Linked DNA regions of Astyanax mexicanus. The protein of the gene in region 2 purifies or fractionates together with the protein of the main gene of each other region. This does not show direct contact. Links are inferred from orthologs where the notes say so. Each region holds a gene or a part of one and is shown on either strand. Other genes may lie near its edges.

Evidence for each region.
Region 1: the proteins of csnk2a2b (region 2) and probable ATP-dependent RNA helicase DDX41 purify together in Homo sapiens (affinity purification with mass spectrometry; 3 studies listed by BioGRID and IntAct, counting the BioPlex papers as one, with this or other methods). This does not show direct contact. The link is inferred for Astyanax mexicanus from reciprocal best matches to the Homo sapiens genes CSNK2A2 and DDX41.
Region 3: the proteins of csnk2a2b (region 2) and pes purify together in Homo sapiens (affinity purification with mass spectrometry; 3 studies listed by BioGRID and IntAct, with this or other methods). This does not show direct contact. The link is inferred for Astyanax mexicanus from reciprocal best matches to the Homo sapiens genes CSNK2A2 and PES1.
Region 4: the proteins of csnk2a2b (region 2) and hirip3 purify together in Homo sapiens (affinity purification with mass spectrometry; 6 studies listed by BioGRID and IntAct, counting the BioPlex papers as one, with this or other methods). This does not show direct contact. The link is inferred for Astyanax mexicanus from reciprocal best matches to the Homo sapiens genes CSNK2A2 and HIRIP3.

Annotation. Positions count from the first base shown.
Region 1 is NC_064426.1:3,134,147-3,141,316, forward strand, and holds the start of probable ATP-dependent RNA helicase DDX41, read right to left. Parts: upstream 3,007-7,170; 5' UTR 2,856-3,006; coding exon 2,829-2,855; intron 2,044-2,828; coding exon 1,951-2,043; intron 1,766-1,950; coding exon 1,612-1,765; intron 1,522-1,611; coding exon 1,447-1,521; intron 836-1,446; coding exon 775-835; intron 333-774; coding exon 196-332; intron 1-195. UniProt on the Homo sapiens protein: Multifunctional protein that participates in many aspects of cellular RNA metabolism. Plays pivotal roles in innate immune sensing and hematopoietic homeostasis.
Region 2 is NC_064417.1:7,239,036-7,246,131, forward strand, and holds the start of csnk2a2b (casein kinase II subunit alpha'), read left to right. Parts: upstream 1-4,080; 5' UTR 4,081-4,810; coding exon 4,811-4,914; intron 4,915-7,096. Other genes in the region: ccdc113 (coiled-coil domain-containing protein 113), read right to left, coding at 1,117-1,269, 1,411-1,519, 2,411-2,502.
Region 3 is NC_064429.1:31,266,363-31,273,557, forward strand, and holds the start of pes (pescadillo), read right to left. Parts: upstream 3,022-7,195; 5' UTR 2,845-3,021; coding exon 2,821-2,844; intron 745-2,820; coding exon 665-744; intron 1-664. Other genes in the region: p2rx2 (P2X purinoceptor 2), read left to right, coding at 4,705-4,844. UniProt on the Homo sapiens protein: Component of the PeBoW complex, which is required for maturation of 28S and 5.8S ribosomal RNAs and formation of the 60S ribosome.
Region 4 is NC_064426.1:34,700,768-34,708,197, reverse strand, and holds the start of hirip3 (HIRA-interacting protein 3), read right to left. Parts: upstream 3,008-7,430; 5' UTR 2,924-3,007; coding exon 2,856-2,923; intron 2,638-2,855; coding exon 2,511-2,637; intron 2,112-2,510; coding exon 1,964-2,111; intron 721-1,963; coding exon 1-720. Other genes in the region: kctd13 (BTB/POZ domain-containing adapter for CUL3-mediated RhoA degradation protein 1), read right to left, coding at 6,442-6,693. UniProt on the Homo sapiens protein: Histone chaperone that carries a H2A-H2B histone complex and facilitates its deposition onto chromatin.

The DNA.
Region 1 (7,170 bases), on a different chromosome or scaffold from region 2:
TACACTATGTGCAATATCTCAAATCACAATGCACAACATAATCTACAGCAACACTCGTAATTCTAATTTTCTAGAAAAATATATTTTTTTCTATATAGATTATATTGTATATTTCCTGATGTTTGTGTTCTGTCCTCTGCGCTGCTGAAACATTACAAATATTATATTATATTATAAACCAAACTCATGCATTACCTTGAGGGAACTTCATTTCTCTGAAGCTCTTTATAGGGGCAGGAATGCCGTCTCCCTCCACCAGGATGTGGTACTTCTTCCGCACTCGCTCATGCCTCGCTTTCGGCATGCTTAATATGTAGCGAGGAGCTTTCCAGCTAAAGATACAGAGAAACCATTACTTTCAGCATGTGTTCTTTATATAGCATTGACATTTTTTTTAACTATACTGTGAGATGGTAAATAAGAATCAGGGGAAGAAGAAGAAGATAAGCATGGTTGGAGAGGATGTGGGCGGAGTCTTTATGTCTTATTATTTAAAGCTCAGACATTATTTCGGGTCCATATTGTTCACAGGAAGATCAAATGTCCTAAATATTTAAATCTGTTCTAAATCACATGGGATTCATGGGGTGTTCTAATTATCTCACAGTACTGTGGCTGATTTACTGCATTTACTTAAAGTGTAAATAAATGTCCATCTAAAAATATACTTAGCTCAAAGTAAAAGCATATATATTAGTGTTTATTACACTAGTGTTAGAGTTTTAACACCCTCTGGTGTAAGGATGCATGAAATACAGCACGAGACTGACTTACCTTGTTTTAATTGGGTCTTCATATGTGATACCTTTGGCCATTTCCTTTACAGACATTAAAGCTGGAGGAATAAATGACAGACAGACGCGTTACAACACTGAGTTCTATGCATATTTATGTATGTAGATAAAACATTGAGACAAATTTAGTTTTCTTTTTTTTTTATGCATTTTTATTTACAAACTAGGCCTGTCTTGATAATTACATTCTTGACCTATATATTAAACTAAAGACTTTATTTGCAAAAACGGACAAAGAAATGTGTAAAGAATAGCACTTACTTGGTTTTGCAAATTAACAGTTACATTATTTACTTTAAAAGAGTTGTACTTTCATTATTATGTTATAAAAATTGTCTAAAATTACAATGTTGTTTTTCCACAGTAACTTTTTTAACAATATATGATTCAAATAATAGTCATTGTGACAGGCTTGCAATTATAAAAATGATGTAGTAACAGTAAAATGTTATATTATATTATAGATATAATACAGTATCTAATCATATACAAAAACTGACTCATTGGTTTAGAATAAGAGAAAATGTTTCTGATTCCATTTAATTATAATATTAACTGTTTCTGTTGCTTTAATGTTAAAGTAAGATGAAACACTGTGTATCTTATAATGTTAATGTTATTTTATAAAGTTAATCAACAGGTATATACTCACCTCTGCCTTCAGCCACGCTCTCCAAAATCTTCTCCTCCTCCTTCAGCTGTTTCTCCTTCGCCGACTCCTTACGAGCTACAAAAATAAAATCAGCAGATTTTAGATTAGATATCTAACTAACAGAAATACATTAAATAAAATAAAAACAGAAACTGCAGAACATACCTTCAGCTTTCTCCTTAAGGTGCTGGTGCTGATCCAGCAGGCTGACGTTGGATCGCGGCCCGAGACCCTCGTCCTCATCTTTCTGTTCTCCTCCGCTGTCCTTCTGCTCCTCCTCAGTCAATCCCTTCCCTCGCAGACGCATCATCTTCTGCATCTGAACCCAAAAACACACCACAGATTAACAGCAGAAATAAATCTTGAAATGTTTTACATTGACTGATCTTCATTTTTTTGAGTATTTTTTTTCTTTACTTATATATAGTTATATAGTAGTAGTTATCACCATAATATGGATTAAAACATTACTCACGTAACTGTAAGATAAAAACTAGAATTTACCATCTGCTGTTTTCTGATCTTAACAGGAACATATGGAACATAATCGTCGTCTTCTGAAGGCTCGGATGCGGACCTCTCTCCGGAGTAACTCCGCTGAAACATTAAATATGAATAATGAGATATTTGTAATTTACTACATGTCCAAAAGTAAGTATCAGTAAATTTTACATGTCATTTGAAAATTAAGGGATCAGAGTCTGGAGGAAGAGTGGATAGAAACACAGTCCAATCTGCTCGAGGTCTAGTGTGAAGTTTCCACCAATCAGTGATGGTTTGGAGAGACATGTCTGTCATCTGCTGGTGTTGATCCACTGTGTTTTATTATCAAGTCTAAAGTCAGTGCAGTTTTGTTTTCCCGCAAAATGTACAGCACGTCATGCTTCCCTCTGCTACTGACAACTTTTATGGAGATGTGGATTTCATTTTCCAGCAGGAAATTGGTCTTAGTAAGCCATATTTATCAACAATAAAAGAAATAACCGTCTAAAATAGATCACTTTGTGTGTAATACATCTATAATATATAAATAAGAGTTTCACATTTTGAACTGAATTACTGTAGTATAGAGTTAACTAGTAAAGCTACCTAAGTTAGCAAGTTAGAAAACAGTATAAACTAAAGTACTGAACATGTACCTTGTATACCCACATTAACCTATGTTACCTATTATTTAACTGAATTCATTTCTGGCTTAGAGACCTGAAACTTTGATTAATTTAATCAAGTTTAGGTGTTATCTCGCTAAAGTGGACTGTATCACAGTTAGTTAGCTAATTAGCTTAGCTGTTTGCTAGTGTGTATATAAACTAGCCTATTAGCACTAAAGCTAACCGCTGTTGCCCCCGCTGATAAACGGTTAAAGCCCGGCTGTAGCTCACCTTCCCCGGCCGGCTCTCCGCCTCCATGCTGCGGGCGGATGGTGGCTGTAGTGCGGGGCTGTGTTAAAAGAGGTTATTCAGGTTAAACTGAGTTAAAAAGGAGAATCTCCAGCTGCTAATGTTTACAACACCAGCGAAACAGCAGAAGCAGCAGCGCTCACCAACACACTACGCATGCGCTACGGCGCGCGACACGAGCCAAACCGCGAGACGAGAACGAACAACACGTGATCAAAAATCTAGCTTTTAACAGTCAGGCCAGCAGGGGGCGCTGCCGAGAGAGAGGCTGAAATTAGGCAAAATCAAGCAAAATCATATAAATAATGTATATAAATGTTTAATAATTTTATACAATCCGTGTGTCATGCATTCTTTTGAATTTCAACTGAAAATCCAAAATCGGAATATGAAAATATATTTTTATTTTTGGTTTTACTTAAACCACTCTTTAAAAAATCACTAAAAGAGTTCACTTCAAGAATAAGAAGTCATAATATTACAACATTAAAATAATAACATTAAGAAAAAATGAAGTCATAATATATATTGAGGGAAATGTAGTTCTAACTGTTGAGCTGCACGGAATGAGTAAAAGGAGCATTTTCTGCTCATGATCTGTTACAGGGCTGCTGTGATTATCCTCAGTTATCTATATTTATAACCTACTGATTTTTAATGCTCTAATGTTACAGTTCGATAACACAATGGTCAGATTTTGCTAGCTATATAGGCTATATTGTTACTGTCAGTAGGTTAAAATGACAATAATATACGTTTTTTTTTTATTATTTAAAAATATTTTAAGATTTAATATATAATCTTAATAAATTGTATTGTCATCACAGTACATTAGTTTACTATTTGGATACCTCAGCGTTTATAATATGCTTTGTATTGTTGCTAATTTTTTTTGTCGGTTTTTAGTTATTACATAATTTGGGCACAAACTGTCCCTTACACTCTCTCAATTTGGTTATGAGTGGATCAACAGAAATGATCCAAAATTACCTTAAATTAATTTTAGCAATTTTTACATTGACTTCCATTGAAAATTAAGAAGCTTCTGTTCTGGAGATGCATTTTTTCATTGGACAACAAAGATATATATTATTTTTGGCATCAATACAAGATGTGTGTTGGTTTAAAATAAAGTATTTAGAATTGTGCAGTCTCATTTTCTAAAATGAATTACTATGCTTAAATTACTGACATAAATCCAATATGCATGTATTTTGCAAATTGTTTGCAATTATCGAGGCGATTTTTCCCACATGTGGGGTTATTTTTTATTTTTATTTTTTTTTTAACCTAAGAACCTGATTAAACTTACCTTTATAAAGACCCTCCTGCACCTGCCGAGATTAAACACTGAGCACAGAGAAGCTAGAAAGCAAACATGACACTTTTCTTTTTTTTGTCAAAACTGTAATGTTTTAATCTTTCTGAACGAAAGATTTTCACAGTATCAAAAGTGAATAATAATAATAATAATTAAAAAGAAAAAAAAACAAAAAACAAAAAAAACAAGCAGAAAAAAAAACAGAAAGCCAACATACACTTGGCCATTAATGGTATAGTATAAATCTACATTCCAAACGTTTAAGATAATGTCTCCTAGTTGAATATAACCTGGATAGCATCAGAGATGTAGAATATGAAACAAAAAGCTCGAACAGATTTTTAAAAACCCATCTTAGTTTTTCATCTCAATACTTCAAAACAAGAAAACAAGTGGAAAAAAAATGGTACATCATTTCTCATCATATTCCCATTCGTCCCACTTCCCAACAGAACGCTTCAGGGTTATATTTCGGATTTGGACAGGGATCGGGGGGGTGTACGGGAGAGTACGTGCAGAGCGATGTCTGGGTCGGGGTTGGGGTCGGAAGGTCGTGGGCGCTGTAGTTGTACCATCGGGGGCGAAGCACAGCAGACTCCTCACATGTGAACAAAAAGAAAAAGGGGGAAATTGAACAAAAAGAAGAACGGTATTCCATACCAAACTGCAGAGACAAACATCAGGAAAGAGAAAGAGCGGAAAAATAAAGGGAGAAACAGAGAACATCCCATCCGAACTTGGAATTTGGAGCGAGCGCAAATGTCTATCCAAACTACACAAGCAGCACTACGGAGCGCAGCTGCAGACCAGCATTCCCGGCCTGCCGAAAAAACGGAAAACTACTGCCAGCTACGGAGCAACAGAGCCGGAAAATACGGAACTACATCCACAGGAATACGGAGGAGCAGGATTCTGAAGAGCACAAAGAGACAAGACTTCACCTGAAGTCGGGGAGAGTCAGAAAACTCTTCTAATTCTAACTGTCAGTACTGACCTGTACGGAAAAAAAATACGGAAAAGACAGAAAAAAAAAATACGTCAAAATTGGGAGCAAATCGGAATTGTGTCAGTTTCGAGCATGCAGGAATAATCTCGTCATTCTGTCCTCTATCAGAGGACGTCATGTAAATACATGTTCAAGTGTCAGAAAGTCGACTTAATACAGTTTTAAAAACCATAGCATACATTAGTGTTCAATTCTTCGCTGTTTGCATTTGGAAAATTAATAAAACGGAACCATTTCCGCTAACGTCGCAGATAAAAAATAAAATATTCCGTAGGTAAGCATTACCACAGTGTGACGTTCAGCAACTAACTCACACCTGGACCCATATTTATCCTACTTATCGTGATCTCAGAGACGTCAGATAAAATCAGAGCTCAGAACAGTTCACTCTACTCTGCGGCAAGAAGGATATAAAAAAAATAAATTGATGGAATTCATAAGAATTCAAGAATTGTAAAATGTGTCAGTGAATGTGTTTAAATGCACCTCATAATCTGTGGTCAGTAATCTGATTAACACGCTCACATGAACTTGGGTAATCAGATAAAGGGAAAACTCCAGATTTTATATAAATTAGGCAATAATCATATTTTTGTTTTGTAACCAGCTAATAAACTCATTTAATTAAAACATGATAAAACCTGAACTTTATGCTGCAGCTTTTTTAACACATCGAGCTGCAATATGATCATACATCAACTAGAAGATTATATAACTCCTTCAGTATTAGTGTCACTTCTAAATTATTGCGGGTGCTGTGCTGATAACTGCTGCTTGATTATTTCCGCTACCACTGTCTGTTTTCACTTATGCACAGACTGAGACTTCCCAGAACCTGATTATAAATAACTGCAGTACTCAGATTATAACTTTAGTGATCAGATTATAACTGCAGTACTATATTTTTAGCACTATGAAGCGCACTTAAAATTCTTTAATTTTTCCAAAAATAGCTGACAAAAGCTTACTGTAAATAAACTGAAGCACTTTACTCACCCAAATAAACAGTTTTTAAGAGAGAAATCTGCAGATTAACATCCAGCGCTCGTTTGACTTTAAAAGAGAGTCTTTTTATTACAGTTTTGTTTACTTAGCTTAGCTTTACTTAATTTACTTTACCACCACCACTAAGCGGCGAGACCTACTGAATTAGAAGTTCTTTTAAAATACATGAAAATAGACATTCATTATTCATTCATGAGCCATATATTACGAAAAAGACGGTAATCAGATTATGAACAGATTTTTGAGTGCATATAAATGCATTCAGTATGAACAGTATGAACTGTATCGTTCTATTCTGCATAATCTGGATCTGAACTGGCCTGTAAAACAGCTTGTCGGAAAAAAGTACCTTTTGGAAAAACGTAACCGTACAAAACAGACAAAAAAAAAAAAAAAAAAGGTAAAGTAGAATTAAAAGGAAACACAGAATGGGGCCGGGAGGTCAAAGCGTGCCGTCGTTCTGATTTAAAAGACTTTTATTGTAAAATAACTGTTTACATACTACAAGTGAAGTCAAGAACTGGAGTAGTGGGAGCAGTGTTCACCAAAACACAATTTTGGCTGCTTACTCCAAAGCAACACAGAGAGAACGAGAGAGAGAGAGAGAGAGAGAGAGAGACAGAGAGAGAGATAGACAGAGAGAAAGAGAGAGAGACAGAGGGGAAGCAGGCTGACCTGCGATCAATCCAGCTCTACCCACACGTACGAAAAATAAAGAAAAAAAGAAAAAAAAAAAAAACGGAAGAAAGAAAAGCTCTGATGGATGAACATGTAGACCGAGGTCCCGTGGCTTTAGTGATAAAACAGGGCATAGACAGAGAGTGACGTCCAGCCAAATCAAGTGTTGAGCAGAGCAAACTGGCCATCGGCCAATCAGGTGTCGACTACAGTGACCAACCACAGGCCAATCAGGTGTTCAATACAGTGAGTCAAACGTGTGTTGAGCAGTCTTCAGAGTCTCGAGTCTCAGGGAAGGTGGGTTCTGGTTCTGA
Region 2 (7,096 bases):
TGATGTATGGGTTTAGAGGCAGGGCAGGACGAAGAGCTGATTGGCTGAGCTGCAGCAGCAGCAGTGTGCCTTTTATAGCGGTGAGACCCAGATGGTTGGACATCAGTTGATTAACTGATTTGCACCTTGTATTGTGTTTACATACAAAAGTACACGGACACAACATCCTCAACTATAGTTGAAAACAGTTGAACCTGTGAGGGTGCTGTAGAGGTGGAAAGTACCACAATAAAAGCATTTTATTAATGGTTAGGAAATGTTTGCAAACATTTTAAGCAGGATTGGTATGTTTTGTTACTTTAAAGGAACACATTCAGATATTAATAAAAAAATATATAGTTTAGGGTTTAGTGGCTCTTTGCAGATGCAGCAATACAGGTGCATGCTTTTACTTAATCTACTGTAGGTTTGATTGTTGCAAACTTCTTATACTAATAACAATTAAAAAAAATTCTATCAAAATACTTCCTGAAGCTTCGTTATCTTGTCTAATTTAAATAGCTAAAAGTGGAAACCTACTCAAAACTCAGTATGGATTTTACCGGGCATCTGCTCACACTGAACCAGAAAATTATTTATTTGAACTTTATTTACCATTTATTTTTACATTTTTTACCTTATTCTTTCACAAGAACCTGAATATGGACCTTTATTTTGGTAAAAAACTAACCCAATATTCATGACTGACTGGCTGACTGGTTGGCCACAAGCACACGTAAGCCCATACACACACACACACACAAGCACAGAGACACACACAGGATGTTTCAGGAGTGGGACAGAACATATAAATAAAGAACGCTGTTTAATGTTGTGTGCTTGCTCAGCTGAAAGAACGTAGATTGTCATTTGCAGGTTCCCAAGCCCCTAAAAAGATTGGCAACACCTCTGGTTACAAGTACTGATGCAACACGTAAAACAATTATCTAAATAAAAAGTACTAAACTCATGGAAAATACGTAGTGAAATAAAAGTGGAAGTAGGAGAAAAAATGTATAGTTCAGTAAAATACCTAAGTACAATAGTAAAGTAGTTCTACTTTGTTATACATCTGTCTCTCTTAGGAGAAAAAATGTGAAGAAATCTTTAGTCAGTTTAATTAAAAAGTAATATAACCTTGTCTGAACTTTGTCTTAGCTTCTCCAGGTCATTCCTCAGCTCCTCCATCTCCCTCTGAGCAATGAAAACCTTCTGCTCCAGCCCCAGCAGCTGTGATGATTCCTTCTGAGATGGCCTCAGAACTTTAGATTGCCTCCTGCGCCCGGGATGCTGGTAAATAATATATGGTAAAGATCATGATACTGTAAAGAACTTTTTGAAAGCTTGGAAATAGTGTTTAAATTATCAACCCTATGCCAAATATCATTGCCAACAGTCAAGTGATGGAAGACATGAAACATATTCACTCACCCCATGTGCCATTGATGCAACAGAACCCAAATGTTCTGGCACAGCCTGAGAAACCAGGGCTTGGTGCTCAAACATCTCATTCTCAGCCTGTAAGGCTGCATTGAAACGCCTGCATGATAGAAATTCACATCAATTGCAGGTTATTAGCTGAAAGTGAAGATACATAAACAACAGAACATGGTGGACCATCTTCTGCTCTAGCAGATCTTTAATCTGCTAACTTCCAGGCTTAAGAAAGTCAGGATCAAACCATTGGAGTTAAAAGTTGTTTCTATAATTTTATTACCATATCTGACACCCACTTTGTTTTGGCCATTATGTTTTTTTGTGCTGCAAATACAGGTTTTAAATAATTAGAAAGATATATAAGAGATGTAAAAAAACGAATAATAATGAAACCCCAATTATATCTAAGCCAAATAACTCTCTTACTCACTAGAACTCCCCCAATAGACCACTGCAGTCCTGCATCATTCTGTAGTTCTCGTATGCCCATATTTGGGGTTCCGTTCTAAGCTAAATTTCTGAATGGGCTTTTCAAAAACTTGTCTTTATTACACTCTGTGGTAAATAAATATGTGTAGAACCCTATACGTTATATTCTGTGTGCATTTTCCTACTAAAAGCATCACTAGATCCTCCGACGTACAAGATTGTTTAAGAGGCATTTTTTTTTATCTTTTATTTACTGTTATTTTAAAACTTATTTTAATTTTAAATCAAAATTAAGTCAAAATAAAGGTTGATTGATTCATTTATATGTGTAATATTATTTTTTTATTTAAAAAATAATTATTAAATTGTATTCACACAGTGTTAGCTAGTTAGCTTAGTGTAGCAGCACTGTAATGCTATGTGGTTAAATTAGCCAAGTTAGCTAGCGAGCTAACTGCACACTAAAATAATACAGGTTTATTTTAAACAGGAGCGTATTTCCTATTAACCACTGTTCTCTGAACATGCTAAGTTACATTATTAATAAACGTTTTCTATGTTTTACCTCAAGTCTTCCAGCTGTTCACGCGTTAGTTTCATATCTACTTCAGTAAAGCTGCCTTTCTCCGGGTCCTTCATGGTTGCTATGGTAAACATGGCTGTCGCCAAGGAGGACAGCGGAGCTTAAAGGCTGAATGAGCATTATAAACTGTTAGAGGTGGCTAACCCAGGTCCAGAAAGTAAAACTCCATCCCAAGGTTTTGTACCAACAACCTGGGCGGCTCTGCTGCATCTCAAACCCTGGGATGGGTTTTTAATTTCAGGACCTGGGTTAGCCACCTCTACTGTTGTTAAGAGTCATTCATTTTAAACTAATAAACAACTATCTTTACTACAAAAACAAATAAATAACAACGAATAACAGATGTTAATGACAAAGTAATCAATTAATAATCCATATTATTAAGCCTGTATAACATGAATTTTATTTTATTTCAGAGAAAAAAAAAACACTGCTTAAAATGAGGTCTGGCTGCATAATGTTTTCTGAGGTAAGAAACGAAAAACACGTCTTAAATAAGTAAATGAAAACAAAAAAGGTATTTAAATCTAAACATGTTATAACATTATTTATAACATTTATAACATTTTATCTATTACTGGCATAATGGCTAATTTGGTTGCTGAAAAGATTACTCCACCTTCAGGTAGAATGTTAGACCAAATCCTTACCCTTATTTTTTGGAGGCTTGTCTTGAGAGATTTAGATTTTTAAAAATAACATAAAAAGTTTAAGGGATTGTGTAAGTAGCAGAAAACACCATGCCTTAGATGGTAAGTAAAATAAAATGTAACAGTAGAATTTGGTGTAGTATGTTATGGACAAAGCAAAAAAACCTAAATCCTTCCCTTGATTTAACAAAGGTAACTTCTCCAAACTTAACATTAAGAATTTATGGATGGATGGATTTAATAATTAAAAAATGCATACTGCACAGCACTAAAATACATACTATTCTTTCAAATGAACAAACACTGTTCCCTTATGAATGGATGGAAGGATACATTAATTGATTGATTGAATTATTGTATTTAATGATTTAAAAATACACTGCACAAGAGTTATTAAAACACTTTAAATCATTGAGAGCAAAACCACAATACAGCTTATTTCGTAGTCCTCATTATATCGACACTTTCCTAAAATAATCAACTAATTAATTTTTTCAAGTTTTATTGTCATTTAGAGCATTTATTTGCAGAAAATTAAAAATTGCTTTCAGAGCTCAAATAATGCGAAGAAAACAGTTTCATATTCATAAGGTTTTAAAAGTTCAGAAATCAATATTTGGTGAAATAACCCTGTTTTTTAATCACAGCTTTCATGCATCTTGGCATGTTCTCCTCCATCAGTCTTACACACTGCTTTTGGATAACTATATGCCACTACTGGTGCAAAAAAATCAAGCAGTTTAGCTTAGTTTAATGTCTTGTGATCATCTGTCTTCATCTTATCATTATATTCCAGAGGTTTTCAATTTGGTTAAATCAAAGAAACTCATTATTTTAAGTGGTCTCATTTTTTCCAGAGCTGAAGATGGATTCAAAAAGTTAGTGAGAAGTGTAGTAGTGAGTTGTAGTGAGTAGGGCGCACGCTACAGAATGGAACGCGCCCTAGAAATACTAAGATGGGTGGCAGCAGTTTGCAGACATGCGCAGTAGGGGCGTTAGAGACTATTTCCTAGTACACAGACGCTAGTCTTCTTCCAGGTTACCGTACTGCGATCTGTGTCCCTGCGGAGCGGAGCAGGAGTCGCGCAGGGAGACTTTCTCCACAAATAAAGCCCTACTACCGAGCGCTGGAGCTCCTGCATGGGACTGCAACGGGTTTGCACGACCCCCAGCCCCCCGTACTGTGGTGGAGATAGAAAGCAGGCCAGCTAGCAGCAACGGTCTGCACTCCTCCTCTCCCTCTCTCTCTCTCTCTCTCTTTCTTTCTATTTCTCTTTCTATTTCTCTCTCTCTCTCACTCTCTCTCTATCTATCTATCTCTCTCCAGCCGGCTGGACCGAAGCGAAGGGCTTAACGCTGCTGCTGCTGCACGCCAACTTCACCACTCCGGCACAGTTACTCTGATTTCGGTGCTGCTGGGGGATTTCTCGCTGGACCTCCGCAGTTCGGATCTGGGATTTGAAGCTGGCTGGGGGTGGGGGGGGGTATAATCCTGAAATATTCTGACCAGTAAACCCCCCCGCCTGCCTCCTGGGTTTGGGTTTACACACGCTGGTGGTTTGTTTTATTTAAATTGAGTTGTTTTTTTTTATTATAATTATTAACTTTTGCTGATTCGTCGTTAAGAAGCCCCGTTTCTCCATCTGTACCAACTCCTGCCCGCCTCTCTCGCTCGGCTCCGCGGCTTTAGCCCTGTCCGCTGTACCGTTAGCTCCTCTCCCGGAGCCCCGCCATGCCCGGCCCGGTGGCCGGCAGTAAAGCCCGAGTGTACGCCGATGTGAACACGCTGAAGAGCCGGGAGTACTGGGATTATGAGGCTCACGTGCCCAGCTGGAGGTGAGAGACCAGCCTTAACCCTAAAAACACATTCCCGCGTAAAATCTGTAGTATTTTACTTATTCATGCCTCTGTGTTCCACCCCCAAAACCTGCTGCTGCACGACAACACTGTTTAGCCAATTAAAGGGAATTATCTATCTATCTATAAGTATATGTATCTGTCTATCTGTTTTTGTATCTGTCTGTCTATCTACTTATATTTAGATAGACAGTATATGTAGATAGTCTGTATATTTATGTCTGTGTTTTTAAATCTGTCTGTCTGTCAGTAGGTATATTTCTCTGCTGTTTTTAAATCTATATCTATCTATCTATCTATCTATCTATCTATCTATCTCTATCTATATCTTTTTGTCAGTCTATCTATCAATCTATCTATGTGTAGATTTATCTATCAATCTCTATTGATCTGTCTACGTGTAGATCTGTCTGTCTGTCTGTCTGTCTAGCTATCTATGTATGTCTATCTGTAGGCCTGTCTAATTATAGGCCTGTCTATATATAGGTCTATCCATCTATTTATTAATATTTCTGTCTGTCTGTCTGTCTATACATAGGTCTATCCATCTGTTTATTTATATTTCTATCTGCCTATCTGTAGGTCTGTCTATCTATCTGCCAGTATATCTATCTCTCTGTATGTCTATCTATCTATCTGTTTTTCCATCTATCTATCTGCCTGTCTATAAGTCTATGTGTCTTGCAGTCTGTATAGCTGTCTATTTGTCCATCATATTATCTAAGTTTTACTCTATCTGTTCGTAGGTCTGTCTGTCTACCTGTCCATCTATGACTGTTTGTCCATATGTCCATCAGTCAGTATATCTACCAACATATCAATCTATCTCTGTATTTCTCTTTTTGCCACCTGTTTTTGCTGACAGTCTGTCATTGCTCTGACTGACTTGAGGACCAGTAGACAGATAAACCAAGACAGGTAGATGGTAAAAAAGATAGACTGACTTACAGATAGACTGATTAAGGAACAAATGGGTAGATAATTCATCTTTAATTGGTTAAACAGTGTGTGTGTTTGTGTGTGTGTGTTGGTCATGCTGGTCTGTCTAAGAGTCAGTTTATGTGTTTAACACTCTATAGCTTTCTATTTGTCTAACAGGTTATCTATGTTTTGCTCTATCTGTTTGTATGTCTGTCTGCCTGTCCATCTGACTGTTTGTCTATCTGTCTGTATATCTGTCAGTATATCTGCCTACTTATCCATTTATCTGTTTTGCAACCTGTCTAGGTGCCCATCTCATATGTCTAAAAAATTGTCTGTCTGTTTAATTATCTGTTTAATGGGGGGGCGATATGGCCATAAAATATGGTAATTTCGCGAAAACGATACTCTTGGCGTTATGATAAAACACTGAATTAAAAAAAAAAAAATTTCAGGAATGATCTACTGCATCAAAATGAAAATGTAATTTTATTATTGCATACGATATGATATGGCACACCCCTAACTTGGATATTAAAAATAAGAATTTGATCAGATTTGTAACAGAAGTCAATGATCCAGAATGTCATGATACTAATTCTAATAGATATGTCAAGGGAATTGAGAATTTTCTGTGAAATTTTCTTTTGCTAAAAACATTATTGAATACCCAACAGTTAAGCTGTTTTTCATATGGGGCAGAGATTTTTAGGCTAAATGAATTTTTGGAAGTGATGTTTATAATAGTAGGCCACAGTGACGGGAGAAAGAACTGTGAACGCCTGTCAGCTGATTTGTTCTCAAATGTTTATATTAGAGTAGGGTTGCACTGATTCTGGGAATTCTGGTCCAATACCAATATCCAATATTAAACATGTAGGCTATATATCTGCCAAAGTGGATACACATATTTATAATTTGCAGAGAGACTGGTAAAACTGGTAAAACATTTGTTTGGTAACAAATGTAACATTTGCAACCTACTAATCTAACCAGAACAGCACCATCCATCTGTTATCAAACCCCAGAACCTACTAATCTAACCAGCACAACACCATCCATCTGTTATCAAACCCCAGAACCTACTAATCTAACCAGCACAGCACCATCCATTTATCAAACCCCAGAACCTTCTAATCTAACCAGCATAGCACCATCCACCTGTTATCAAACCCCAGAACCTACTAATCTAACCAGCACAGCACCATCCATCTGTTATCAAACCCCAGAACCTACTAAT
Region 3 (7,195 bases), on a different chromosome or scaffold from region 2:
CATAATTCTGCATGTGTTCCTGTATAGCTTTAATATAGCTTTTAATATTACATTTAAAAATGCAAAAAAAATGCAAAAAGAAAAAATAAGAATAAGAAGAGATGTCGACAAACTGGTACAAATATATACATATATGAATCACATTCAAAACAGTTAATAATGTCTTATAATACTTTGTTTGTGCAATAGTGTTATTAGTATATCTGAGGTTCTAAAAAATATTTGTTCAATTTTATGTTTTTATTTTATGTTTAAAAACATGAAAGAAAACAGTAGACTATAACAATCAGTGGTATTTTATCCTTTATCTTTTATAGTCACACAGGGATACTGTTTTTAACATATCAACAAAGGAATATGCCTGTGAGTAAACATATAAAAATTACATTTAATCAAAAAAAATGAGGAAATGAGGAAGCACATTGTTATTAGTTCATCAAAGTTCTACCTACAGGTTATTTAATCACTTTGAACCAATCAGAACAATGAAGAAGGCAATATATATATATATATATATATATATATATATATATATATATATATATATATATATATATATATATATATATATATATATATATCAGTGTTTAATAAAATCACATTAAAACATAATCAGCTGGATTAAATCAGTTGGTACTAGGTATTATGCTTGTCCAGTACTCACCTGAAATCAGCCAGGCTCAGGCAGAGCTTCTTGCGAGCTTTATTTCTGCTGATGTAGTTGGTGGCTGACCCACTTTCATACTGCAAACAGAGAGAAACAGGTTATAAACCCTTAATATTCATCCACTGGACAGAAAGACTGACAGGATAAATCAACATTATGAGAGCATAAAGTCACAACCCAATACTTAACAGTTCTAGCAAAAGCTTCACATGCAAACGTACAGCTGCCATACTATTTTACTGCATGATACCAACGGTGTTTAAATGTGCAATTTAATTACAGTCCTACAAATGTAATGTTCAAATTGAAAGAGCTGAAAATTAAATAGCTTAGAACTTGAGGAAGTACTAGCAGATATAAAGCAGGACAGAGGTTTAAAATGTACTGACATCATCAAACCTATAATGCATTATATTAATATCAATACTGTATTTCCAGATGTGCACAATGTTTAGATAATATTAAGATATTCTGAACTTTCTGATGCTGAATGCATCAATAGAAATGTTCTAAAATTACTTCTTTTTTTCCAAGAAATTCTAGTACAATATAAAGAGCAACTGTCAATTCACATTGTCAAAAAACTAAGAAATATTGCATTTGATTTTTAGTTTTTTCATCTGTAACTAACAAAAAGTAAATCATTACAGCAATAGCACAACATGTAGAAAACATCTAGAGAATTAAAAAAAGCACTGCTATGAAAATGAGACATATATAAATATCATTTAGAAATCTGCATGTTTTCAGGAGTTTAACCCATATTCAAAAATATGGTGAATCACATTCGCATTTCATTTTTTTATCTCTAATGCACTAAAATAAAATTGCTCTGCGACTTCACAAATTTTATTCAGTGAGAGTTATAGAGTCAGAGAAAGGAAGAGTAAGAGTCAGAGAGAGTTAGAGAGATGTACAATGAGTCAGTGAGAGAGAGGAAGAGAGACTGACAACCAGAGAAAGAGTCAGAAAGAGAGAGAGATTAAGAGAGAAGTAGAAAACTAGAGAGAGAGTAATAGAGTCGGAGACACAGAGACAGCCAGAAAGAGACAGACAGTCAGAGAGAATAAGACAGTAAGAGAGGTACACAGAGCGAGAGAGGTAGAGAGAGGGGTAGAGAGTCAGAGAAAAAGAGATGTAGAGAGAGAAGTACAGAGTCAGTAAAAGAGAGGAAAAGAGTGAGAAAGAAACAGTCAGAAAGAGTTATAGAGTCAGAGAAAGTCAGAAACAGAAAGAGAGACTTTAAGAGAGAGGCAGAGAGAGCAATACAGACAGACGGAAGAAAGAGGTGGTCAGAGAGAGAGAGAGAGTCAATGAGAGGTAGAGAGTCAGTGAAATAGGTGGAGAGAAAGAGTCATAACGAGAGGTAGAGAGAGAGAGTCAAAGAGACAGGTAGAGAGCTAGAGGGAGAAATAGTATCTGATTTCAACTCTGTTCATATTCTGTGGAAAGGCGTTCCACTAAGTCATGCATAATCTTTCAGTAACTGCTGTTATAGTGTATGACCCACATGTTACAGTATATTACATATTTTTGCACCTTATTCTCACCAAGCACTTTTACTGTACCGTATCGGTAATAAAGTGTTATGTCTGCTAAATGTTTCATGTCTGCTGTATTTATTGTGGTGTTTTAGCTCTATGTTGTACTTTGTTGTTTAGATTGTATTGTTGTTCTATGTTGCACCATGTCTCCAGAGGAACGAGGGTTAATTTAATTGCACTGTGTACATGTACTTAGATGGAATGACGATAAAAGCACCTTAACTTAACTTAGCACCATAACATATTCTTGAAGTAAAGTCTTAAAGTGATCTATAAACCCGTTAAAAATAAATTGTAGTATGCAATTTGTTGTGTTCAGTTTCTGTTAAGGTAGGTCAGGTATTTTTGTGAGCACAGCTCGTGCTCACCATGCAGTCACAGGTAACGTTAGCTGCTGTTATTAGCCTGAAAGCTAACTGTGTTGTTCTGGATATAATTCAATAACAATTTAAGCAGTGTTGATATAGATAAATCTATACAGCAGTCAGTAATCATAGTTCAGCAGCATTAAACAGTTATACAGACTGTCAGTGAGTTTATTAGTTAGTGTTTCAGTAGCTGTTAGTGATCAGGGGAGTTTAAAGGCCCGGGCTGCTGATTTCTCCTCACCTTCTTCTTCTGTAATCCTCCCATGGCGGACTGGAGGTGAGCTGCAGCGCGTTACGGCTGGATATTGGTGTTAAACCGCTGTAATTCCCTGATATTCTGGGTTATTCTGCGTTATTGTTGTTATTCTGGGTTCAGCGCTGCTGCTACAGATCCTGCGCTCCGCTCCACACGTGCGCGGCTGCGTGGCGTCACTCAGCGGAGACCACAGGACCCCGGCATCTGACTGAGCGCCCGAACACGCGCCTGATCAAAAATCACATTTATTTACATTCCGACTCCTATCCTTTTTTTCTCTTTTCGTTTTTTCTTGTACTTTTTCTTTTGTTTTCTCGCCTTCTTTCTTTTGTTTTCCCTATACATTTTCTTTTTCTTGCTTCATTTTCATCATCTATTTTTCATCTTTGTATTAATCTTTTTCTTTCTTTCACTCTTTTTGTCATATTGTTATGTAACTTTTATGTAATCCTGATTTTTGGATTTTGGAAAACAACAACAAAAAAAAAAACAGAAATATGGTACAAAATTTTAACAAAGTATTTTAACATAAATCTATACATTGTTTTAAAAAGAGGGGGTGATATTTAGCAAGTAATTAATTGTTGAACAGCTTACAGCTAGTAAGTAGCAATCAAAATAAACTGAGCTTTGGAAATAAATAAAAAAAAAGTCAAACACTTTCATCATAATAATTTGAAAAAGAAACTGGAAGAAACTGGTACAGGAAGACGTCTGGCTGACCCACATGGAAACAGCTTTAGCCTTTAGCTCAGCTTAACATTAGATTAAGTCTCCGTTTTAGCAGTTTAAAGAGGAATTAGAAGTCTGACGGGTGAAAAACGGCAGTAATTCAATGACAGGGGTGGGCCCTCTGTTTACCTGTACTGTACCTGTGTTTATTTTTGGGCGCTGATATTCTAAAGCCCTGTAGTGCTGCCTGTCTAATTTCTTAGTTGGCCAGGTCAAAGTTTGTCAGTCTTTTAGAGCACTGTCTGGGGGTTAGAACACAGACAGTGGTAGAGTCTTCTATAAGAGTTTATTTTCGTTTTCTTTTAAATAATATGCTTGTGTGTGTGTTGTGTTGACCATGGCACAGTTGTTTCCTGTGTATGAAATTAATACCCAACACGGATGTGCAGAAAAACCACATAATAAGATAAGATGTTTCCAGAGAGTTGGAGAAAGACAGAGAAAGAGAGAGAGAGACCTAGAGAGAGAGAGTCATAGAGAGAAGTATGGAGGGAGATAGAGAGACAGAGGTAGGGCAAAGAGAGGTAGAGAGAGATTGAGTCAGAGAGAGAGGTAGAAAGAGAAAGAGTCAGAAAGAGAGAGTTAGGGCGAATGAGAGAGAGTAAGAAATTGATAAAAGAGGGAGATAGTCAGAGGCAGAGGTGAGGCGAAAGAGATATAGAGCGAGAGAGAGACAGACAGAGGTAGAGCGAATGAGAGGTAGAGAGAGAGTCATAGAGAGAGGTAGAGAGTGAAAGAGTCAGGAAAAGAGAGAGAAAAAGAGAAGGTGGGAGTCAGAGATACAGTGGTAGAGTAAGTGAAAGGTAGAGAGAGAGGGAGAGAGAAAGTCAGAAAGAGGGAAAGATAGGGAAAAAAGAGTCAGAGGGGGAGAGTTCAAGAGAAAAGTATAGAGTGTGAGAGGTAGAGAGAGTGAAAGAGAGAGTCAGAGAGGTAGAGTGAGAAAAGAAAGAATGAGAGAATCAGAGAGACAGAGGTAGAGAGAGAGGGAGAAAGATAGTCAGAGAGAGAAGTGGAGTGAGTGAGAGGTAGAGAGAGACAGAAGTACAGAGAGAGAGGAAGAGTGAGAGAGAGAGCAGTAAAGTGTGCTGGAAGATAACAGAGACCAGTATCTGCTGGGGTCCCGTGTCTGTGGTCAGTATGGGACTGAAGGAGTTCTTCAGGGAGTTCTTCCTGGGTTTCTGGGACTATGAGACTCCAAAGATCATGGTAGTGAAGAACAGGACTCTGGGAGTCATTTACAGAATTGTACAGTTTCTGGTCATCACATATTTCATATGGTGAGTATCTGCATGCCTGCAAAAATTAATAGTTTACAAGCTCTTGTTATCTATTATAATTTCTAACTTTAATTTATGTGTAGCTGTATTATGCTGTATTAAGGTTATTAATGGCAAAGAGATTGAGATATGAAAATGGAAATATCTTGATACTATGAACTGTATACAATTCTTTTTTTTTTTAATTCTGAAGCAATGAATAAAGCAATTGTAATTGCTTTATTGGAATTCTATTAATAATTTATGACTACTATTGACAAACAATTATGAAAGCATTTGGACCCAACAATACAAACTACCAGCTATAAACCTCTAAAATCTATAAAATATCTATAATAAGTTCCTAAAGAAATTGTATAGAGATTGCATTAAAAATACTAGACATCTTTTTTTTTTAAATTGCTTTATTTCTATTATTTATTTGAAACCTATTAACACATAAATGATGAAAGTATTGTGGCACAGAATGGTAGAAACTACCAACTTAAGGCTGATGAATTATCTATTATGATCTGTAACACTTTTTTTAATACTTATTAATTTAAAGTATTTTGTAAGATTGGCTCTAGTCCTACTTTAAATATATTCTGTTGGTAAATTCACATTACAAAATAACGACGAGTAGCAGAGCATGGCTTAGTTGAAGTATATTTATGTTGGAATCACAGCCCTGTTTTGTTGCTTGTGGCTCTCTATTGGGAGGAAGTGATAATTGGAGTGAATGTTTTGTTGTTTCCTGGTCAGATGTTTGTCTCGTCGACTTTGAGTCATAATTTTTGAGCTAACAAAGCATCTAGTTGCTGGTGCTCATGGTTTACAGCAGATCAGTGAAACATGGTGGTATAGGCTGCTGCTGGTTGGTTGGTCAGTCAGCCTGCAGATAAACAGAATCTCTGGTCTTTGTTTGTGATGGAACTGTATCCCGCATTATTATTGATGACGCAGGTGACGTCACTGCTGACAGGAGGAGTTCTTCAGTGAACAATAACATCAAGATGCTACACCAAATAATATGCCTAAAGCAACTTTGGCATTTTAGAGCCTTTTAAAAAAGAGCTTTAAAAAAAAAATAATAATAAGATTTTACAACACCCCAGCTGGCATTTAAACTTTGAATAAACGTTAAATCAATATTGATCATCGCTGATGTTATGGTTGAATCAACATTGAATCAACGCTGATATAGCAACGTTGTTTCAACGTGTTCAACCAAAATTAGAAAATCCTACGCTTAACAGAGAGTTAACAATAAACTTACATCACTGCAGTTAATCTGAGTATAAAGAAAGTTACAAAAAAATACAAAAAACAGTAAAACAAATAGAACATGAACATGATGTTAAATTAAAAAGGAGTTACTACATATAGAAGTAAAACACTTTTTCATTCCTCCAACCAACCGTTTTTAGAAATTATATGGTGATAAAATATAAAATGCTGATTCCAAGGGCAGAATGTTGTGGACATTATGTTGATTCAACGTTAAAATTTCAATGTTTGCACAAACATTTAACATTAAATGTTGATTCAACATTGTTTCAGCATTGAAACAACAACAGACTTTACTTTAGTCATTTTAACGTTGAAGTTCGGTTGTGCGCCAGCTGGGACAGGACAAAACAAAATTACAAAATAAAATCTCAGGATATGACATGACTGAGTAGTAACAAGGATAAGAAAGAGACAAGTCTAAATAATTACATGCACATGAGAAAATGTCCAAACTGTCCATAGTAGATTGAGCAGACATGAGATATATTAGTTGGGGATAAACTCAATAGTAAGTTTATGCCATGATTTAAAAGATGGAACAGCATCACTGATCCAAAAGTGTAGGATGTTCTTATTGGCAGCAAAGGTTAACAGATTAAAGAGTCTCTTATGGTTAATATTTACAGCTTTTTGTTTTTGATTGGCCAAATAAATTTAAATCCTATGTATCATATTTATATGAATTATACCCAGCTTATGATGGCGACTATGAACCTTAGACTTTAGAAAATCCACTGACTGCAAATAGAGTAAATAATAAAGATTTAGATAGGCCATGAAGGTAATTTGCTTATTGTCCAATTAATATTATGTTTTCTATGAAAAGGGGATGAATCTTATCCAATATATAATTATGGTCATAATGTCAAAATTACATCTTAATAAGTTGTTTTTTTTCATAATGTGAATTTGACAGTTGTTCTTGACTTTGTTTGAATGCATCTTGATGAGTGGACCAATAAAAATGCTCCAAAATGACTTTTAAACTTAGACTTTAACTATACGTTCTACTATAAAGCCACTTTAGAATTTCTTTTTCTCTAGAAAAATCTTTATTAATTTAGTTTTTAACATGCCCA
Region 4 (7,430 bases), on a different chromosome or scaffold from region 2:
TAGCAGTGATTTTCTTTTTGTCCATTTCTTCATCACTCTCATCATCACTTTTAATCTCACTGTCACCATTTTCATTCTTTTCAGGCTGTTTCTTCTTCGTGTTCTTCTCCTCCTCATCATCATCTTCCTCACTCTCAGAGCTACTTCCAAACACTTCCTTCTGCACTCTTCTCACAGCCTCACTCTCCGGTGACTTGAGCTCTTCATTATTCGGCTCTTTTCTTTCACTTTTTGGAGGGGTTACTTTGCTTTTATCTTGCTCTGTCTCATCCTTTTTCTGTCCTTTCTTTTTTATCCGTTTCATCTTTGTTTCCTCGCTGTCTGAGCTCACCGTCTTCTTTTCTCTTTGACCTTTAGACTTTGCTTGCTGTGGTTTTTCTTCCTCTGATAACTCAGAAGATGAGGATGGGTCTTGCTCGTCTTCCTCACTCTCTGGTACCTTCTTTTTCTTTCTTGCTTTAGTTCCCTTATCCTTCTTTTGTTTTCTTGGACTTGCTTTTCCCTTCTTCTTTACCTTCACTTCTGGCTGTTTTTTCTCTATTTTCTTCTTACTCTTCACATTTTCCTTTTGCTCTTCTTCCCCACTCTCTACATTCATGTCCTCGTCACTTTCATCATCTTTTTCTTCTTCTTGTTTTTGTTCTTCCTCTTCGTCATCATCTTCATCTTCTTTTAACTGGTCCTCATTAGCAGCCTTCTCTATTCCAGAATCCGGGGATTCTGATAGACAACAGACAAGCAGTAATGTATGTTTTGCATATATAAAACATTTGTTATGACACTTTGACTAATGAAAACAAGTATAGCATGCTACATGTCCAAAAGTTTATAGACACCTGCATTCAATACATTGTTTCAAATTAAGTGAATAAATGGTGGTGCATTTTTTTACTGCAATAGCAGGCTCTAATCTTCTGAAAAATTAAATCCCACGCTATTTACTTCTACAGTCATTCTTCTATGCCATTCTGTGGTCTGTATTAAACCTATATTAGAAGCTCTTAGTCTAAACTGGATAAGAAAATTAAACAACATTTTTTTATTTTATTTTATTTCTGCTGTTGTGTGCTGCAGTAAACAGGTTCCATGCCTTTTCAATAAAGCCCCCCATTGTTTCATCTCAACTGAGCATACAGGATCTCTTTGTAATCCCATTAAAGACCTATGTTTCTCTACATGCTTTTTTTAATCCTCCACCCTGTTCTTCAAATGGTCAGGACTCCACAGGACAATCACAGAGCAGCTATTATTTGGGTGCTGGGTCAATCTCAGCAATGCAGTGACGCTCAGTACTTGACATGGTGATAGTGTGTGTTGTGCTGGTAGAAGAAGATCAAAAACAGCAGAGCTACTGATGTTTTTAAACATCTTAGCATCACTGCTGAACTGAGAATAATCCAACAACCTGAAATACCCACAGCCAACAGCATCCTGTGAGCACTGATGAAGGACCAGAGAATGAGCAAAACAAACTGTACAGCAACAGACGAGCCTCTGTCTCAGACTTTACATCTACAAGATAGAGCAGTTGGTAAAATACGGTGAGTGGTGACAAAAGCTCCAGCAGCACTGCTATGTCCGATTCACTCATACTACCACAACGCACACTAACACCAAGTTAGTGTCACTGCAGTGCTGAGAATAACCCACCACCCAAATAATAGCTGTTCCATGGTGTGGTCCTCTGGGGTCATGACCATTGAAGAAAAAGGTCGAAAAAGAATAATAAAGTATGCAGACAAACTACAGAACTACAGTGCGTACTTGTAAACCAAAAGTGCTCCTCTGTATGCTCTTGCTTGCATATGGGCAGCAAGTATTGACACAAAGCGGTGGTAAATCACTGTATATATTTGACCTCTAAATGTCAGCAACTAATAAGAATGGTTGTCTGGATGAATTTGGACATACAGACTATATTTGCAATTTTTAAATTTATGAAAGCAAACAAACTGCCTTATACCTGGAAGTACTGACTCAAAACGAGACTTCTTTTTCTGGGCCCTGACATCACAGTTTTCTTCTGCCTCTGCTTCCTCGTCATCATCCTCTCTCTTTCGTTTGTTCTGTGAAGGGTCTGACTTTCTTATTAAAGGTTCATCGTCACTGTCCTGAAAAAAAGAAAAACAAAAAAAGACAGACATTTAAACATTAACTAGTGCATCATACAGAATATAAACAGATTACAAGTTATCGTAATAACACACACACAAACAAAATAAATAAATAAATAATAATAAAAAAGAAGCTTCAAGACTCCTGAGACTCCAAGGCCTTTAACTAGGGCAGAATGGAAGCACTTTCACCCCCTCTTGTGGCATTATTTATATATTGTCAACATCCTAAAATAATTTAATGGTCGTCTAAATATTTTTGGGCAAAATGTACGTTTTTGCCTAAATTATTTCCTCATGATGCTGCATGGCCAGCTGTGGTAAAACCTGTTTTCTCTCTTTTTAAGCAATTTTTAAGCATACAGAGCCTTTGAAAATACTAAATACACCACTCACCTCGACCTGCATCCTCAACAGCTCCTCCTCTACCACTTTTTTCAGCAGGGTTTTGTGCTCCACACTCAGGCACTCTCTGCCCACATGCTCCAGATAGCGCTTCCGTAGTATTCCTAGTGTTAACGTGCTGCACAGACAGTTTACAGCGTTAATAAACACAGAGATACACAGTGAGACTCTCGCGCCTTTTCATTTTTAAACATCAGCAACACAGCTAGCCTAGCTTAGCTTAGCTCATTATTACATGTATGTGTTAGTCAGCCCGCGTCTCTAGACCCACCCAAACCGCCTTAAAACTCTTCTAAACCTCCTCCACTCCGCTAAAGCTCACCCAGTGTCGCTTACCTGAGGTCCGGACAGCGCTGCAGCTGTTTGGAGACGAACCGGCGGATCACTGTCTCTTCAGAAACCATGTTTTAAACTCTGCAGCTCCTCCTCCAACATACACAAACACACACTGCGCCACGGCCGGGTTTGGCGCGCGCGGACACGCACTGTTGCGTCATCACGCACGAAGCCGTTACCAGAGAGAGAGAATTAATACATTTTGGTATAAAACTGATATAAAAAAATAATAAAATACTAAAATAAATAACAGAAATAACTACACAAAATAAATCATTCCGTTTACATAAGAAATATACTGTAATGTGTTTAAAGAGATACTGAGTTATATTTAACTGATAAAAATAATGTTTTAATTTAATTTAAATTTAAAAATATAAATAATAATATAAAGAGAAAAATAAATAATATAAAAAAATTAAAAACGCTCTGAACGGTTTAGTTACCATAAGAAAATATACTATACTAATATAAAATAACTTAAGTTTAAAAAAATAACGCTCAGAACCATAGACTGTTTGTTACAGAATAGGAAGATTTTTTTTTACAATTAATACTGTAAAATATAATTTACATAAGAAAAGGCTGAAGTTAATTTGAATTTATGTACATCTACTTAGTCTGTGTGACATCATCCACAGGAAACTTTCCACAGGAATTTTTTTCTGCATGTTTAGTTTTATATTCTAGATTTAACATCAGAAATTAAATCAAATTGAGCGTTATTTAATTATTAAAACATATTGGCAAAAAATAAAAAAATAAACTACATAAATAAATACATAAATTCCATTACTTTTGGCAATAAGTTTTAGAAAAATAAAATGTGAAGCACATATAGTTTAAAATACACCAATATTATATAATTATTTCATTAACATTAGGATAAACAGTTGATAATAAAAAAGTTTTAACTGCCTATGCAATAGTAACCAGCATTAAGCTTAGTTAATTCAAAGTACTATAGCTAGCTTTGGTTTGTAGTCTAATTGTATGTAGTGAGTGAACAAAAGGGCCAGGTATGGAAAGGCAAAGGGCCGGATGTGGCCCCTGGGCCATAAAATGCCCAGGTGCAAATTACAACACTTGGTAATTGTCCAGTTATGGCCAAACATTTTCATGATTGGTGCAGTTATACCCTCTGAGCCCGCTTTCAGTCTGTAGGGGGAGCTCACAACAAGATTCCACAAAGAAGCGAAATAATAGTAATAGTCTAATTAATAAAATATTCTTTAGATGATTCAATATGATAATGAACAATTACTTACTATTTCCTAAGGATAGTAAACTTTCCTAACATATTAGTTTGCTTGCAGTACGTTATATATATCTCCACTGATTTATTTGCAAATCAATAGTAGAACTACAAATTTAAATAAAGTCCAAAAACAGCGATGTGTAAAAAAAAAGATTTTTTATTAGTGAACCTGTGGATAAAACAACAATTAATATTTATGGACGGCATAATAATACCAGAAAGATGTTAAGGTGCCAAACACTTAGAAAGTGGTGTAAAATCTCTGACAATACTGTTGTTAAGATTTATGTCTGATTTTTAGGTTCAGGTGAGTGGAGTGAGTGTTTTTAAGTGTGAGCAGTGGCTATGTTCTTAGTCAGTTAAAACATTTGCTCAATTGGACATGGGTCTAGTACAATTCTTTTTTACAGCACTGTGGCATGTTCAGCAGGTGAGCAGTTGGCTTTTACCTTTATATAATCATTGACAGTCAATGAGATACTCTTAAATAAACTGTTGTTTATCTACAATGACTCCAAAGCAGGTTCTTGCTTCTTTTGGCTTAAACAAAAACCGCGTCCTCATTATTATCACATACACAACAGAGCAAAGCTTTTAGTCACTCACTTGTTGTGACAGAAGACAATGTAAGCCTTTGTTTTGGATACATATGAAACATTTGTGCATTTGTCCTTGGTGTTTTCTTGGTTTAATGGGTCCCTGCTTGAACAGCACATTAGAACCTATGCTATAGTCACATCAGTGTAACACAGTTAGCTTCCAACAGCTTTGGTACTTAAATGAATAATTGATGTAATAAGTTGCTAAATATGTTACTAAATATGTAATTAGGTGTTTTTATTATTCACATAGATTATGGGCAAGCTTGGGGAGTGGCTCATAGGCTTGTTGTTTTTTGTAGTTGTTTGGTTGGTTGGTTTAAAGCATGCAAGAAAAGGAAATAAACATCTACAATGTAAGTTTCTACGTTTCTAAGTGAAATCAACCAGCTGTTAGAATGTGTGTATTGCAAAGCTGGCTGACTGGACCACTATTAAGACAGCACAGTGGTAGAATTCACCACTTTAAGAACATGTCCATAAAGAGATATCACTCAATGGCTATGTTCAGACTGCAGGTAAATTGTATTTTTTCTCAAATCAGATCTGTTGAGATCACTGTCCACGCTGTTATTTGCAGGTGATCAGAATGGATTTGTATGTCTGGACATCACAAACATATCTGCATGGGATGGTGTGGTATTGAGGTCAACGTCAATAGGTAATATTTAGGGATTTTTTTTTGACCCCCACACTTTTCTCCCTCTGGATTTTATGAGGTCATTGTTTGTCATATGGTGCGTGATGCAAATAATATCTTGAAATCCGATTTGAGCATTCAGAGAGTACAGACTGAAATGCATCTGTACAAATCCAATAGTTATTTCATTTTAAACCACCTCTTAATGTGTATATTTAGCAGAAAAATGTTTCTGGCTGTCCAGACCTATTAAAAATCCATCTAGATACAATCTCTCACATTTGAGCTTATAGTCTGAACATAGCCATAGACAAGTGAAGCCCCAGCACGTCTTTGAGACGTTAGATGTTCACCTACAGCTAACCTAAGACTTAATACTGCAATATTAATTGCAATATGGCCGGATAAGTATGACTGTCAACAGTCTGTCATCTTACAATGATCTGATGATCTCTCACATTTTAAAAATTTAGTAAAAAAAAAAAACAAAAAAAACAAAACAATTTACAAAAGAGTAGGTTGAGGATGGCACACAGTCCAGTAAGAACACACATCATACATCAGTCAAGTATGGGTCACTTCTAAGTACCACTTTCTGCATACAACAACAACGCATTTCACTATTAGGTGCACAATACACCCCATACTCTTCCTTCCACACACACATAAAGCAATAACTTATTTCACATGTACCTTTACAAAGTGAAAAATGTGAAAAATCTGGACAATAAATTAATGAAATAATAAATAAAAAACAAAAACAACTAAAAAAACTGAATGACATGTACCTTCATCCTCAAAAATAATTATAACAATAATAATAATAAGACAAATAAAGCGAAACCACACTGTGGCTCATTTGGGATCATTTTGAAGCAAGTCCATATAAACCCCCACCCCACCTTCAGTGCAGTGTTAGCGTACCAAATTTTACTCCCTCCTCCATTCATGCCATGCTTTTCTCTCCATTCATCCATCTTTTTTGTTTCAACCTCAAAATGACCGTGGACGTAATTTCCAGTTATAGTACCTGTATCCTATTCCTTCATTCTACATCTCCACATCTCCTCATTCTACTTATCTTCTCTCTCAGTCCTTGTACACAGTCTGCTGTCCGTGTCCCCTCTCATCGTGCATAATGTGTCTCCGCACATGGATCCGCCTCACCCTTCTGTCTCCACCCCCTACGCCAGCCCCGTCCTCCTCAGACTGGCCCACACCTGGAGACGAGACGCCGCCGGACTCCAGCAGAGCCATTCCTCCGTGACCAGAGGCTCGTCCATTCTCATAAATTAAGATGTTCAGGGTTTCCTCAAAGATGCGAGCTTCTGGAAACTCAACCTGGGAGAGGAGTAAAAGGTGTGTCAGGTTGGGTAATGTTTAGTAAAAAATATCTGTATGCCAACTAGGGGTGGGTGATATGGCCCTAAAATAATATCACGATATTTCATGGTATTATCGCGATAACGATACTCTTGGTGATATGACAAGAAATAAAAAAATACACTACTGCAACAAAACAAAACTTAAATTTTATTATTGTATACGATATCATATTGCACAGTTAGAGGTGTGCAATATGATATTGCACACCTCTAACTAAGATATTAAAAAAAACAAGAATTCTAGCATATTTGTAACAGAAGTCAATGATTCAGAATGTCATGATACTACTTATAATAATGCACTCCAAATATCTCCATATATCCTGGATTAAAGTAAAATAAGTGATACTGAACAGATATAATCTGTCTCTAGTAGATATTCAATAGGAAATGAGAACAGTGTAATTTTTTCTTTTGCTTAAAACAGCCGAAAAAGTAGTATCCTGATGTGATAATTAGGAGTGAGTGTTATGGCACGATATTTCAGGGTATAATATTGTTCACAATATTCAAAAATGTTGCCGATATTATAGTGTACGATACGATATGGCAAACCCCAAATGCCAACTATATCTGTATAAATGTATATCAATACATACTGGTTTTCTGAACTAGAGTTAAATTTGTCTGTTTTGTTTAAAGAGAAGCACACACTTTTTGAAGTTAACATTATAGCCTAAAAACTTGTCAAGT